Linked DNA regions of Elephas maximus indicus. The protein of the gene in region 1 interacts with the protein of each later gene in a biochemical or structural test. Links are inferred from orthologs where the notes say so. Each region holds a gene or a part of one and is shown on either strand. Other genes may lie near its edges.

What was found.
Region 2: of the proteins of EHMT2 (region 1) and LIG1, one has a biochemical effect on the other in vitro, tested with the Homo sapiens proteins (3 studies listed by BioGRID). The link is inferred for Elephas maximus indicus from reciprocal best matches to the Homo sapiens genes EHMT2 and LIG1.

What each region holds. Positions count from the first base shown.
Region 1 is NC_064819.1:93,416,475-93,420,217, forward strand, and holds the start of EHMT2 (histone-lysine N-methyltransferase EHMT2), read right to left. Parts: upstream 2,614-3,743; coding exon 2,334-2,613; intron 2,235-2,333; coding exon 2,016-2,234; intron 1,912-2,015; coding exon 1,652-1,911; intron 735-1,651; coding exon 650-734; intron 557-649; coding exon 516-556; intron 363-515; coding exon 207-362; intron 1-206. UniProt on the Homo sapiens protein: Histone methyltransferase that specifically mono- and dimethylates 'Lys-9' of histone H3 (H3K9me1 and H3K9me2, respectively) in euchromatin.
Region 2 is NC_064829.1:100,826,781-100,830,523, reverse strand, and holds the start of LIG1 (DNA ligase 1), read right to left. Parts: upstream 2,800-3,743; 5' UTR 2,647-2,799; intron 2,309-2,646; exon of another isoform or gene 1,805-2,308; intron 1-1,804. Other genes in the region: uncharacterized protein ZSWIM9, read left to right, coding at 3,477-3,478.

The sequences.
Region 1 (3,743 bases):
GATAAAACGATACGGTACCTGGGATTTACTTTAAGACAATCCAGTAAGTACTTGTGTTAGATTTTTAAAGCATTTTATATAGCATTATAGAGCAAGAGAATCATAAAATCCAAACAAAAAGCCAATAAACAGTAAAACAAAGACTGGTGAGAAACCCCTGGACCTGGGGGAGTGCTGGTGGGGGAGGGCAGGCCTGCGGACCTCACCTTGCTGTCAGAGTCCACGCGTTCGTCCACAGAATAGGAATCATAGTAGAGACTAAAGTCGTCCCCCACCACCGTCTCCCACTCTTCCAGGGACCCAGGGTCCCCCTTCTGCAGGGTCACTTCTCCTGAGCCACGGGCAGAACCCAACTCCTCCGACTAGAAAAAGATCAGAAAAATTGAGGCTGCTGGTAACCACTCCCATTAGCCCCCACTTCGAGGACGCAGGGTGTGGCCGCAGAGTCTACACCCTTGAAGCAGTCCTTCCCTCCCAAGGTGGGAAGGCCTCGCTCCCTGCCTCTCCTGGCTTACCAGACCACCTCCAGAGTTCAGTTTCCTCCTTTTCACGACATCTGGAAGGAGAGAATGAAAGGGATGAGGCCTGTGCCCTACACCTTCAAGAATGGCTACTGTCAGGCTGCGGGTGGGTAGTAGGTGAAACTGACCTGAGGTGACCTTCCCCAGAGAGTGCACGTCGTCACTCATTCGGAAATGCTGTACTTCAGGGGGTCGCTTCTCAGGGACTGGGGGCTGGGGGTGAGAGGGAGCATTTGGGATCAGGGAGCACCTACAGTTCTGCTGATTAGCCTGGAGTCCCAGGTATGAGCAGGTTGGTGAGACATACCCTCAAAAATGCCATCTGGTGCTCCAAGAACCAGAATATAACAACAAGATATCAACCACTTTCCATATCAAGCACTTACTTATCTTTCTAATCATTGACCCTCTACTCCAATTTTACAGATGAGAAAACGGCCAAAACCACATCCAGGACCAAACCCACTCATAGCGACTCCGTAGAACAGGGTTTCCAAGGGTGTAAATCTTTATGGAAGCAGACTGCCATGTTTTTCTCCCACAGAGCTGCTGATGGATTCGAACCAACAGCCTCTCGGTTAGCAGCTGAGTACTTAAGCACTGCACCACCAGGGCTCCTTACATTCAGGACAGATCATACCAAAAGCCCTTAAAAACCCTACCATAAAGCTTCTGAGATTCTGGGGACTTTGTGATTTACCTTCTTTGCCATTTCTGTGGCCCTCACATTCTTTCCCGTAGGAATTCCCAATAAAACCTTAAAACGGAGCAGGGACAGGTTTCAAAGGGAGGGAAACATCCCCCTGAGGGCTTGCTTAGAGGTAGAAAGAAAAAGTGCCTTGAAGTTCCTTTACATACTCGTTATCACAAAAATAATTAAGACATTAACTATACAATTAACTCTTTAACATGTCTTTTTTTCTCCTCCTTTTCTCTGAAAAAATAAACTCTAAGAAGAACAGCGTCTGTTCATAGATTAGGCCCCAGCCCATTACTTGACAGGCAACAAAAACAGGTCCTTGGTAAATAAGTAAATGAGCTACAAGAGACCTGAAATTAAGTTTTTAAAAAGCCCACAAGGGCTTTATGGTCAATTACCCTAGTTCCCCCCACCCTGCCCCCACCCTCACCTGTCCATTTCCGGGTTTGGACATGGTTTTCCTGGCTCTGTGGACCTTGGGCTGCCCCTCTGGACTGGTGGTGGCCGGAGGGGCTTCAGGCCCTGCTGCTGCCACCCCCTGGGCCCCTGGCATACTCAGCAGCCTCATGGCCAAGCTCTGGACTGAGGGGGGTGACTTCCCAGCTCCTGTCATTGACATCTTGGCCCGACTGGGACAGGCACCCCCGCCTCCCTTGCTGGGGGAAGAGGGAAATGACTTTGTGGCATGCCCTAGAAGACAAGACGTACAGGCAGACATAATGTAAAATAACAAGGAAGGCTCGGAGGACCCCCCCATGGTACTCCCCCCGACCCCAGGCTCCCCAGCCTCTCACCCAGCAGGATGCGGCCCCCATGGAGGTCCCCATCTCCCTCGAGACTCTCAGGCTCATCCCCAATGAGCGGTGTGGCTCCCACAGGGGTGTCAACCCCCTCATCGCCGACGGTGACAGTGACAGAAGCTGGGGATGAGGGGCCTGCCGGCTCCAGGGGATCAGGGCTGGCCTTGGGTAGGGCCTCCTCATTATGAGAAATGTCTCCCAAAGAGCCATGAACTGATAAGAAAGATAAAAAAGTTCAGGGCTAAGAACTCACGGGATCCTGTGCTGGGGGTTGATGAAGGTTCAAGTGGGCCGTTTCTGCCGCACACTCACCTCTCTCGGTGGCTCCTCTGGGCTCTTTTTCCAGCAGCAGCGCCCCCATTTCAGCGGGGGCCTCCCCCTGGGAGGGGAGACAGGGGACGGGAGAGCTGGTCAGCCCAGTAGGGAGTTGGGGGGCCCAGGACGCCTGGGCCCTGGGAAGAGAGAGCAGGCTTCGGGGCCTACCTCTCCCCCTATGGGTGCCCCCCCTTCCGCGGCCTCGGCTGCCCGGAGGGGCTGCACGACCCCTCCCCCGAGCCCGCATCAGCCCCCTCCCTCTCGGTAGACCCCGCATCTCTGGGGCAGAGAGAAGAGGAGGGGGAGGGGGCGGGGCCTCCGCGCCCCGGCCCCGCCCCCTCCTCCCGGCTGTACGCGCCGCTCCCCCTTTGTCCCCCAGGCCGCGGGGACCCCTGGCACCAACCCCTCCAGCGCCCGCTGCCCCCCAGCCCGGCGGACGGCCCCTCGTGCCCCTCGCGCGTGCCGCTGGGGCCGCGGCGCCCGCCACCCACTCGGGGGCAGCCGGCGGCTGCATGCGCGCCTCCGTGCCCACTCCCCCCACCTCCCACCCCCTGGTCCCCTCATCCGCCCCCGGTGCTGGCCCCCCGGATTGCTCCAAGTCCCGCCCGGGCCCCCCGGCCCCGTTGCACCCCCGGAGCATTGCACGGGTGCGCGCTTCCCCCGGGCGCGCGCGCGGGCATGCACCCGCCTCTCCCCCTCCCCTTCCGCACCTCGGCCGCCGCCGCCGCTGCAGCTCCCGCCGCCGCCGCCATCGCCGCTCGCGCGAGGGGCCGAGCCGGCGCGCGGCCGCCCCGCGTCACGTGATCGGGGGGGCGGGAAGGCGAGGAGGAGCCTTAAAGGAGCCGCAACGTGCTTGCTGGTTATTTTTCTCCGGGAGCAGCGCTGGAAATGGCGGTGGCTGGTCGAAGCTGGGGGCCACAGGCGAGAATTCCTGCCATTCCTCACCTCAGCTCTGCGGGGAACCGAGAGCGAGGCACGCCCGTCTCCAGGTGTGGCTTCTCCACCCCTACCTGGTTTTAGGTAACTAGCAGAGTTGTGAGCCTCCCGGCTCCCGACAGCGGCCGTATTTTCTTGTGGCCCTCGTGAGCGTCTCCCGCCGCTGGTTGCTTTGCTCGCTTTCTAGTTTCTGGGTCAACAGATAGGCTCGGCCTCACTTCTCTAACGAGCAAAAAGGGTACAACAGGGCCGCGCGGAGGATACCTTTACTCTTGGCTGGTTCTGACACTCTGCTTCTGTCCCCTGGAGCAGGGTTCCCTTTTAAAAACCTGGGACTCAATGTCTCTTCTGTTTATGCAGGGCGTATTACAGCATCACACGCACTAGGGATCCAGGTAAGCCCCCAGCGGCCCGAGAGTCATTACTATCTGGTGACACTGCAGTAAGTAAGCTTTACTAAACACTTCACAA
Region 2 (3,743 bases), on another chromosome or scaffold:
GTGGCGATCTGCTTCTGTAAAGATTATAGCCAAGAAAACCCTGTGGTGCAGTTCTACTCTGTAATACATGGGGTGATCATGAGTCGGAGCTGGCTCAACAGCAATGGGGTATTTTTTTTTTTTTTTGGTGAAAGTTAGAGCAGGAAAGACACGCTAGCACCAAATCAAGGACTTCTCTTTAAAGAAAATAAACGGAAAGAGCATGTACAGGACTAACTTACGAGTCAGTGCTATCTAATGTCATAACCTTATCAAAAAAACAAAAAACAAAATACCAAACCCATTGTCGACAGTCCATTCTGACTCACAGCGACCCTACAGGACAAAGTAGAACTACCCCATAGGGTTTTCAAGGGTGTAATCTTTATGCAGACAGATCGCCACATCTTTCCCCTGCAGAGCTGCTGGTGGGTTTGTACCGCCAACCTTTCAGTTAGCAGCTGAGTGCTTAACAACTGTGCCACCAGGGCTCCTCTTCATGTCCATTTACAACTTCAAATTATCTCAAATAATTATTGTTAATTTTGTTAGATGTGAAAAGGGTATTGTTGTTATATAGGAAAACATTTTTCCTGCTTAGAGACACTTGATAAAATAAACGTCATGACGTCTGTATATTACTTAAAATATTTCAGCAAATGTCCGAATTTCCTTTAAAATAATTTTTTTTTTTTTTGCAAGTAGAGGGAGACTATAAATGAAATGGAATCCCCGGTGGTGCAAATGGTTAACACACTTGGCTGCTAACCAAAATTTGGAGGTGAGAGTCCACCCAGAAGCTCCTTGGAAGAAAGGCCTGGTGACCTACTTCCGAAATATCAGCCGTTGAAAACCCTACGGAGCACAGTTCTCCTCTGACAACTCGTTCTTTTTCACATTTATAGATGAAATAAGAACAGACATATTTTGATAATTACAGGGTTGGGTGACGAGTCCATAGGGGTTTATTACACTACTCGCTCTACTTTCATATATGTTTGAAACATACGTAATAAAATATAACAAAAAATAATTCTTGTGAACTAAATAAGTGTAAAATCAAGGTGCTGGGTATATCATCATTATCCTACGCTCCACTTTTCTGTATATTTGAAAATTTTTATAATAAAAAGAAAAAAGAGAGTGATTAACCTAAAATTAGTAATAAAAATTAAAGTACACAACCCAAAGCTCAGAATTCAGGAACACCAGTAAGTAATACAGTGATCGGAACAGCCCCGTTAGGTCCCTCACTTTAGAAAGTTCTCATCGATCCCCTACGTAAAGCGTTTTTAAAAGTCTGTATCTTTTCTTCCCAGCCAGTCTGGCAGCCCGTGGGGGACTGTGGCCAATTCATCTCTGCACACGCTGAGGAACAGCCATGCACAAAACCCACCAAACACACATTTTCCAAGACATTTGGTGTGCTGGAGCTCTGGGGACAAACAGTAAAAGAAATCCAGTCCCCGACCATATGATCAGGCAGTGCAATGGTTAAGCGCTCGGCTGTCAACTGAAAGGCTGGTGGTTCAAACCCACCCAGGAGCTCCTCGGAGAAAGCCCTAGCAATCTGCTTGCATGAGGATTACAGCCTAGGAAACCCTAGAAGGCAGTTTTACTCTGTCCTGTGGTGCAATGGTTAAGAGCTACAACTGTTAACGAAAAGGGTAGCAGTTCGAATCCACCAGCCACTCCTTGTAAACCCTATGGGGCAATTCTACGCTGTCCTATAAGGTTGTAATCTACTTGACGGCATCCTACAGTGGTTTTATTCTACTTTAGGAGGCATTACGGTTTGTTTACACGAAACCAAAGGCAAACTCACCGCTGTAGAGTTGATTCTGACTAAAGCTGACCCCGCGTGTGACAGAATAGAACTGTGCTCTATGACGTTTTCACTGGCTGATTTTCAGACGTAGATCACCAGGCCTTTCTTCCTAGCCCGTCTTTGTTCAGCACCAAAGCAACACGCAGGCCTCCACTGACAGACGGGTGGCGGCTGTGCATAAGGTGCATTGGCCCATTCCGATCCACTGGGCCCCACTCGTTTCCAGGTCCTGCCCCTTCCTCACCCTTTCCTTGGCTCCGCCCCCTTGTCAGGCAAACACCAGACCAGACCCCTCCCTACCCAGAGGGCTCCTCACCCCTTCATAAGTTCTTCACCTAGACCTGGACTTTACCAGTTACCAGGCCGGGCCCACCTCCGTCCGGTCTGGCCCACCCTTTCCAACTGGCTGCACGGCTCCCTACCCTTCCTATAAATAGCAGCTCCCTCTCCTCGCCCACGACAACGCTCTCCCTGGCCCCGACCATCCACAACCCTTTTCAGGGCCCCTCAACGAAGACTTCCTATTTCGGGGTGGTCCCGCCCCCGACCATGACTGTTGTCCCTGCCCCTTTTGGATGGCACCACCCCTCCAGCCGGACTGTCCTCAGGCCCTTTCCAGTCCCATAGTCTGCAGACCTCGTCTACGTTCTCCCTGGCCCCACTTCCTCGCGCGGACACCGCCCCGCCCCTCCAATGCTTCGCAGCCCCTTTCCGCTGCCTCAGCTTCCCCCACGCCAGCTTGTCTGCAGCAACCCCGGGCCCAGCGAAGCCACGGGCCTCGAACGTTCGGCACGGGCGCCACCCCAGCCCCCCAGCCCCGCGCGGGACGCCCCACTGACCTTGTGCTGGCCCCCCACGCCGCTGTTCCGATCCGCTCCGCGCGCGACTGCAGACCCAAATTCGCGCCACGGAATTCGCGCGCAGACTTCGCAGCCGGGGGCGGAGCCTAGTCGAGGGGCGGGACCCGAGAGACCTCCGCTCAGCCCGAGGCCGCCGTCCTCGCGGAGGACGCTGGGAGTTGTAGTTCCCCGAGTGGGAGGTGGCCTAGGAAGAGGAGGAAGTAGGGCGAACCCTTCCGCAGAGCACGCTGGGAAGCGGCCTGCGGGTGTGGCTGCGGGTCCGAGGAGTGACGGACGGGGAAGAAAGCGGTTCGAGGAGGAAGAGGTTGCGCGAGGCACGGCGGGAAGAGAGGCGGGAGACCGCGCGGGGCATCCCGGGAGCGAGGGCCCGGTCGGGCGTTGGCGCGGAGCATTGTGGGAGGCGGACGCCGCTCCGGGGCGGGTAGGTGAATGGGGAGGGGCGGGAAGGGTGCACATCTGGGGGAGGGGAGAGGCACAGCTGGGTGGGTTGGCGGGGCTGGGAGGGGCCTCTGAGGGCGGGGCTGGGAGGGGCTGGGGAGGCGCGAGCGGACTGGATGAGGCTGAACAAAGTGGGGGGAGGTGCGGCTGGATGTGGGGAAGCGTCGGGGGTGAAGAAGCCCATTTGGATCAGGGGATATTTTCAGACGAGAACGCACATCTGGGGAGGATGGCGGCCGTAGCGAGAAGGATAGGGTTCCAGCTGGATTGTGCGTGTGGAAGAGCCACAGATAAATATCAGGGGCAGAACTGGCCACAGTGGATGCGGCACGCACCTGTAGGTGCAGGGTCCGTAACTGGCACATCTGGAGATGTGAGCATCTCTGGGAAGCAGGGGCTACAGCTAGATGCGGGGGATACAGGGCTCGCGTTTGGGAGAGGGGCGACAGCTACATACTGGAGACAAATCTGGGGAGGAGAGAGCTACAGGTGCACGAGAAATACGAAGGGGATGGCGGTCCGTGACGTGGGGAGCACATCTAGAGATGGGGCATCTTGAGAGGGGGGCACAGCTGAATGTGGAGCTAGTGGGGTTACGGCCAAGTGGAGACACACTGAGGGGGAGCCCAGATGGAAGA